Linked DNA regions of Kluyveromyces lactis. The protein of the gene in region 2 purifies or fractionates together with the protein of the main gene of each other region. This does not show direct contact. Links are inferred from orthologs where the notes say so. Each region holds a gene or a part of one and is shown on either strand. Other genes may lie near its edges.

The links.
Region 1: the proteins of CUE3 (region 2) and RQT4 purify together in Saccharomyces cerevisiae (affinity purification with mass spectrometry; 4 studies listed by BioGRID, with this or other methods). This does not show direct contact. The link is inferred for Kluyveromyces lactis from reciprocal best matches to the Saccharomyces cerevisiae genes CUE3 and RQT4.

Annotation. Positions count from the first base shown.
Region 1 is NC_006042.1:1,284,522-1,288,211, reverse strand, and holds RQT4 (Rqt4p), read right to left. Parts: upstream 2,062-3,690; coding exon 565-2,061; downstream 1-564. Other genes in the region: GSM1 (Gsm1p), read left to right, coding at 1-454; import motor complex subunit PAM16, read right to left, coding at 3,515-3,690.
Region 2 is NC_006042.1:973,258-977,175, reverse strand, and holds CUE3 (Cue3p), read right to left. Parts: upstream 2,458-3,918; coding exon 574-2,457; downstream 1-573. Other genes in the region: ribosome biosynthesis protein NSA1, read left to right, coding at 1-478; VHC1 (Vhc1p), read left to right, coding at 2,723-3,918. UniProt on the Saccharomyces cerevisiae protein: Involved in activation of the ribosome quality control (RQC) pathway, a pathway that degrades nascent peptide chains during problematic translation.

The DNA.
Region 1 (3,690 bases), about 310 kb from region 2:
TGCTCAAGATTTAAAATTACAAGAAATTATTCTCCAAAGGGCATTGTTAGAGTATGAAAGCATGGCCAAACTTGTAAATTGTACCCCAATGTGTATATGGAGAAGGTCAGGGGAGATATGCTTTGCTTCTAATGAATTTATATCCCTTACCGGGTTCAACAAAAAGGAGATTTTAAACAAACGAAAGTTTATCATGGAATTCATGGACAATGAAAGCATAGTAGATTACTATGATATATTCCATGAGTATTTGGCATTTGGTTCAACTCAAAGTGGGCCCTTCAATTCATCGACCGGAACTTCTGATGGTCAGGCTATTTTTAGCGAATGTAACCTTTTGTTAAAGAATGGATGCTATCTACGGTGTGCATGTATTTGGACAGTTAAAAGAGATGCATTTAATATTCCAATGTTAATAATGGGCCAGTTCTTACCAATTTTCGATATTGAATGATAGTCGAATTGTTCCAACCGTAACGCTTGCTCGATATGTAACTATATATAAATTTTCCAACACATTTATTTATTGATTATGGAAACATCGGCGGTCCGGGCAGACAAATTTCACAAAATTGCCAAAATGCTATCTTGAAGTGATGGTCTATCATCAATACCTACTTGGACACGATGAACTTCATTTGATACCTTTTTAGGAGCAGATTCTTTTTCTTCCTCAGCGTTTGCTATGTATACAGGTTTCTTAAACTCCGACTGCGCCTTGTTATAATCCCAAACATTGTTTGTTAACTTGGAACTCTCCTTCTGTTTTTGTTGATTTATCTCTAACTTCAAATTCTTGATATCTTCCAAGTCTTGGAGATCTTCTTCATCGCTAATATCATCTATTTCATCATCACTAGTTGCATTCGTTTTTTTGCTGCTCTTTCTAACTGCTTCTGTCATAACAACTTTACCATCCTTACCGATCGTCAAGTCCAAGACGACCTTTTCACGCCTTCCATTGCGTTCATTCTCAATCTTTTCCCATTTTCGTAAATTTCTTTGCTGTTTCTTTAGTTGTAATGCTCTTTCGTAAGCAGAACCCCACATGACATCTTCATTCATAGCGAAATCACTAGCATTGTCAATGATCTTGGTTCTTTCAGCACTGGTATCCTGGAAATGAAGTAGCTTGTCGAGTCGATTTCGTGCTTCAATAAGTTGTTCATCCTCCTCTTCTTCCTTTGACTCCCCATTCAATATTTGTTGTCGTTTAATCTCTCTCTCTTGTTCCCGATCTTTCTCCACTCTTTGTAGCATTTTCTCTTGTTCTTGCCATAAATTTGTGCCTGCACCAGATTTAATCTTATATTTCTTGGTTTGCTTCGGCTTGGGCTTGTTCTCTTCAACTTTCTGAAGCTCTATTTGTTCTCTCTCTAACCGTAGCAATTCTAAGATTTGTTCGCGTTCCTTAGCTGGGATTAATTCAGCTCCGCAAAAGCTGCAATTGTTCATATGCAAACCTTCTTTGACACATATTATTTTGCCACATGACAGACAGTTTGGTGCAGGATCGAATATTGGGTGCCTTGTTCCCTGGCAATTGCATTTATATTGACCGGAATCCCCAGAGACTGACCTCATCTCCAACATCTTTAACACATCATCGATATCCTTCAATGAATCTAATCTGACTTCTTTACTCTCTTTCCCCGAATCCTTTTTCACAGCCTTGGCAGTCGGTACCTTTTTTAATTCTCTATTCAATATCGGTTTCGTTGCTTGAATAGACTTGTTGGCGAACTCGGCCCTGGAATCATTGGTTTTCACAGTATTAATCAATGGAGATATCACTTTTTTAGTATTGGTTGTTTCGTTCACTATTGGTTTCTTGACAGCCGTTTTACGGGGCAATTCCATGAGCCTCTCATTGAACTCAAATATGAAATGTACCGATGAGTCGTCTTGCCCTAAAAGATCAAAAAAGGATTGGGCTATCTGTTCAGGGTTGTTGCCTTCTTTTATCGTCTGTTCACATAGATCTTTGATCTGTTCTGTATCTAGTGGCAAAATGTTGGGCAATTCCTTTATAGCATACTCAATAGCATCCTCTTTCGTCATTGTGACTGTTTTGGCAATATTATTCCAGTGCTATGTATATCCTTTTACTGTGTTGTTTGGATACGAGTAGTTACTTTCTCAGTTGCTAAGGCTCATCTCTCAATATTAGACTTTTTCACTTTAAAAGATGAGAGTTCTCAAGTTATGAAAGAAAAGGTGGAACCGATCAGCCAACAAGAGGTCTATTGTAACAATTGGGTGGCTGTCCAGGTGATCTCATGAAGAATCATAGACTCGAGAACTTGGATCGAAAGTAGCAGCTTCGGAAGCTTTACTGTCAAATGGTTGTTAACGTCACATTATCTTGGACTGACAGACATTAATACCCGAACCTTTCTATAACTATATATAAATCTAAACGGTATAGTTACTGCTGGTGCCACAGCCCAGAAGCTGGGTACTACTCTAAGTAACCGAAGTTCCTGGATATTGACACTTATTAAGCAGTGCAGTGAGTAGGACGAGCTGCATGGGCAAGATGAGCAGTATATTGCTTATAAGTTCGACTCAAAAGATCCCACTTGGATGAACAGATTTACATTTCATATAAACTGATTCTCGACTAGGCAATATACACCATGAAGGGCCCCAAATATCTGCAACATGCTTGTCTGGTCAACGATATCTTACCTGGTAAAACCCTAAATCAATTATAATAGTAGAGACGTATGTCCGGGTAATCTTTCCGATCAATAGTATAAAAGTGGCAAATTTTTCAACACTTTGAACCTCTTTCAAACACTCTTACAGTTCAAAGATTGGAAAATCTTTTTGATGTTTGTTCTTAATAAACCAATCATCAGTAGTGGTTAGTACTATCTCAAGATAATATTAATACACATATACACCATAGAAACCTACGGTTTCGGTTATCTCTTTTCTCAAGAAGTTTTTCCTAGGTTTCTTCGGAGATCTAGGAACGGCTTTAGTTAATACTGGAGAAGAGTGACTGTTACCATTTTTTAACCCATAGCTGAATGGATCCTGACTAGCCCCAAACAAGCTGGCCACAGTTTCCATTTCGTTTCCGGTTTCTTAGATCAATAAAGTTGGAAGCGCATTGAGTTGGGAGGGGAAGTCTCTTCCTTTTCCCGGTTTTTTGCATCACTTCTTTCTTTTAACCATTATGAAGAGGTCTGGAAAGTGATGATTAGAAGCGGTTTAACAGCTCGCTCTAGTTGTTCTTCCAGGTGTTGCATGTGATCCAGAGGGCTTTGCGTAATGGCTGCCTGAGAGTTTGGATTTTCACTCTCCGTTGTGCCCTTCTTCATGATGGAACAGTTTTCCCATCTTCTAGAGAATTTTTGTATTAATTAGTTGTAGACATAAATCAGCTTCATCAACCACTGATGATATTGTGCTGAACATGATACGATGAGCATGCGATGCGTGTATTTCGGTTTATTTGAACTATTTACAAAACTTATACTAGGCCAGAGAGAATGACCTTACGCTATTTTTTCAACTCCGGTGACTCCGTCGTGGAACTCGACTTCGCTTGTTCTTGATTCAGTTCTGGATTGGCAGCCTTTTCCTTTTCAGCAAGCTCGTACTTCAAACGCTCTGCTGCCCTGTAAATCTTACTCTGCAAGTAGAATGATCCACCTTTCTCTTTATCGTTGATCTCGA
Region 2 (3,918 bases):
TGAGCAATTGAATTCTTGCAAAATTATAGGCGACACATCCCCACTGGGTAACTTTCAAAGTTCTAACTTTGACGAGCTTGAATTCTTAGCAGCAGACTCCAGAAAAGATGTGTACCAATTCAACGGCAAGGGACGCTTGTTGAGAAAGATTGCCAAGGGCGACATTACTGGTTTTGCATCTTGCATTGCTGTTACCGATAAATACTTACTTCAAGGTGGTTTGGACAGGTATGTTCGTATCTTTGATTTAGCCGATTATAAGCTCCTGGCAAAGATATTCACAGGCGGTAAGGTTTCTGATATTATACTCTTAGAAGACAATGACTTGGAATTACCTTTAACTGAAAAGCAATTGAAAATGAAGAAGAAGAAGGAAGCCAAAAGAAGCATCGTCGAAGCTGATGAAGATGCTGAAAATGAGGATCTTTGGAATAAATTAGAATCCAAGAAAAGGAAAGTTTCGAAGAATGATATTTAAAGTAAATGCATTTCATAATATCTACAGATAAATAGGAAGATACAGGATAATCGACTTCAATTTTCGTAAATGTATCTATACTGGTCTAATGTTCATCATAAAACACCACTTTTAGCTAACTTTTTATCGTGTCCCGCTTTTCTATTATGATTAGCACGACTTGATTTTAGTTTCTCGTTACGAGCATTTTTTCTCTTTTGTTGTTCTTTGGTAAGAGGTTCTTTGGTAGTAGGTGTTTTCTCTCTGCCAGAATCATTATTACTGTTAGTGTTAGGTGAATTTACGGTGCTGTCAACTACATGATGATCAAAACCTTCTTTATCCTCTCGTGCTTTTGTAAACGTCTTCTTGCCTTGCCGAACGTTCCCTTTGAAAATATACTTTTCTTCTAGCAGTTGTGCCCTCTTTGGACTCTTCTCAATCATTCTTGACCAACCTTCAATTTGTTCGTCAGACCAGTTAGTCTCTTTCTTCATTTCTTTCCGCTGTTTCGAGCCCCGTTGCTGACGGGAGAAAAGATTTTTATCCCTTTTCAATAATTCCCATAGATATCCTTCAATTTTATCGTACTTAGATGTGCCTGGTGTTATGGTTGATACCTTTGCTGTGTCAGAAGTATCGACGCTTACACGATCTGCAGAAGCTTGCTTAACTTCTGCATCGTCGTAGGTGTCATCCCTTTCATCTTCTGTGGCATCATATAGAAGGGATAAAGCTCTTGATAATGTTTTGTTTCTGACAGCATCAGGTACGTCGTTTGTAGGGAATAACATGTTTTTCTTTTCAATTTTGTCCTTCGGAGTGATGGCTGGCAATAAATTCTCCTTCGGCTTATGTTCCTCCATCAGGTTTTCGGTCGTATTCTGTATTTCGTCATCCTGCAGTGGCCCATCTTCGAGTGAAGATATCACAGATGGATTTTCAAACAAGTTATTGATTATAACTTCCGTGTTATTATCATACCTCTGCAATAATTTTGTTATCTGGTTAGAAGTAAGGTCCGGAAATAGTTCCTTGATTGTGTCTATTTGTTCAACATTGACACTAGGCATTAGCAGACCGCTTAAATGGGGAGCTGCCTTCGGTTCCTCTTGTATATCCAAAAAGGGGATTTTAGTTTTAATATGTGGCAACTTTTCCTGAAACCTGGCATCAATTAGAAGTGACCCTAAAAGTGGATACATTGAAAGTGTTCGTAAGTTCGTTATGCTCATTTGCTTTAACAAATCAGCCAAATGTGTGACGCTGCAGGACAAAAAGCTTAATATTCCAAGTTTCTTTCCCCAATCTGATAAATAACTCCCTGGTTCCTTGCCATACATTGACTCTAATGTATCAACCCACTTGGCAGACACAAAATTATCTGTAAATGAACTCTTCGCCTTATCATCAGCAGCTAAAAGCAATTCCAGAGACTTTAAATCCACTCTACTAAATTTATTGGCTTCTATCAAATATCTTATATGTTGCTGTATCTGGTACGTCCTATCCAATTGTGCTTTCTGAGTATTAATGGTCGGTCTTAAAGATCCTTCGATCAACGATCTGACAGTGGTTGCATTTCCCTCGACGTAGGACCGTGTTATGTCCCATAGAGACTCTGTATTCAACTTCAAGTATAGTAGCCCACAGCTTTTAATCAACTGTAAAACGTAAGCTCTTAAAAGCTCTAATTGCTTCAAAACATCTGCATTAATTCCCAAAGAAAGAAGTTTTCCTTCTTCTTCACTCATTTCATGCACATAAGCCTTAACGAAAATGCATAGATGATCAATGGTCTCATCACTGAGAAAGTCTAAGTTGTCACCATGTAATAAATAACTCATATGTTGCACATAAACTTCCAGCAAATGGAGCCATATCACCGGATCTTTCTCAACCATCGCCGCACGTAGCTTAAAAGGAGGGAACTTAACGATCGCCAGAGATATTTTCTCTTTGGCATTTATCTCCAAAACCCTCTGGTATCTTGTAGTCATCGTTTTCGTTGATTTTCACCTGTTAGATGGTAGTTCTGAGCATGCCTGAATGCTTCAAACATGATCGAACCATATCCATCAATCTCTCTGCATTTCAAATCTCTTCTTGCTCTATGGTGAAATTTCAAAAATCTTTCAAAAATGATAGACCCTTAAAGGAATTCGTCAAATCAAGCAAAGATAAATAACGAAGCGATAAAAATATTCAGATTAGCAGTGTTTTCAATGGCAAAGGTAACGACAGTAGTGCACTGTCACCACACTGATGTCTAAGTTCTATGAACTACCGGGTTCGCACCTTCCGTCACAATCAGAGCGCTCACCGTTGCTTAAGAGAAGGTCGAGTTTAACGTATTTCAAATATCAAGACACACCGTTACAACAAGAACAATCTTCAAAATATGATCTAGAGAATCCCCATAGAAATAAATTGGGAACATTCGATGGAGTATTTATACCCACTACGTTAAATGTGCTCTCAATTTTAATGTTCTTGAGATTTGGTTTCATAATAGGACAGATGGGTATTTTGGGAACATTTCTATTGTTAATCTTATCTTTTATCATTGATGTATCAACCACATTGAGCATTTCAGCTATATCGACCAACGGTACAGTGAGAGGTGGTGGTGCATATTACATGATTTCACGATGCCTAGGTCCTGAATTTGGAGGTTCTATTGGTCTTATCTTTTTCATTGGCCAAATTTTGAATAGTGGTATGAACATAGTTGGTATCGTGGAACCGTTGTTATACAATTTTGGTATCTCGGAAGGTGTGCTAACTCAAGTACTTCCAGAAGGGCATTGGTACCAATTTGGATACTCTACGGTTTTGCTTCTGTTATGTCTGGCGGTGGCTATGATTGGTTCACAGACTGTCTCGCGTGCTGGTAACGTTCTATTCTGGTTGCTATTGGCTTCTACAATCTCGATTCCTATCTCTGTTTTATTTGTGAAGCCTTTCGAACTTAATGGAATCGTGTACACAGGACCGTCTTTACAGATACTCAAACAAAATCTATATCCGAAGTTTACAAAGGGTGCAGCAGGCTCGGTGTTGAAGGGTTACGAAACGTTCAATGATCTATTCGGGATTTTTTTTCCAGCTACGGCAGGAATATTTGCTGGCGCCGGTATGTCCAGTGAATTGCGTAAGCCTTCCAAATCCATACCTAAGGGAACCCTTTGGGGCCTTCTGTTAACCTTCGTGTGTTATTCGCTTGTCATTATATCCTTAGGCTGTTCAGTCCCAAAAAAATCCTTGCATAAAGACGTGCAAATTATACAGACCGTGTCCGGTTTCCAAAGCATCATTCTGGTCGGTGAACTTTCCACTTCTCTATTCTCCGTCATAGTGGGTATGGTAGGTGCTGCTTATGTGTTGGAAGCAATCTCAAAGGATAACATTTTGCCTGGTATCTCAATATTTGGCAGAAATCCAGTACTTTGCTTACTTTT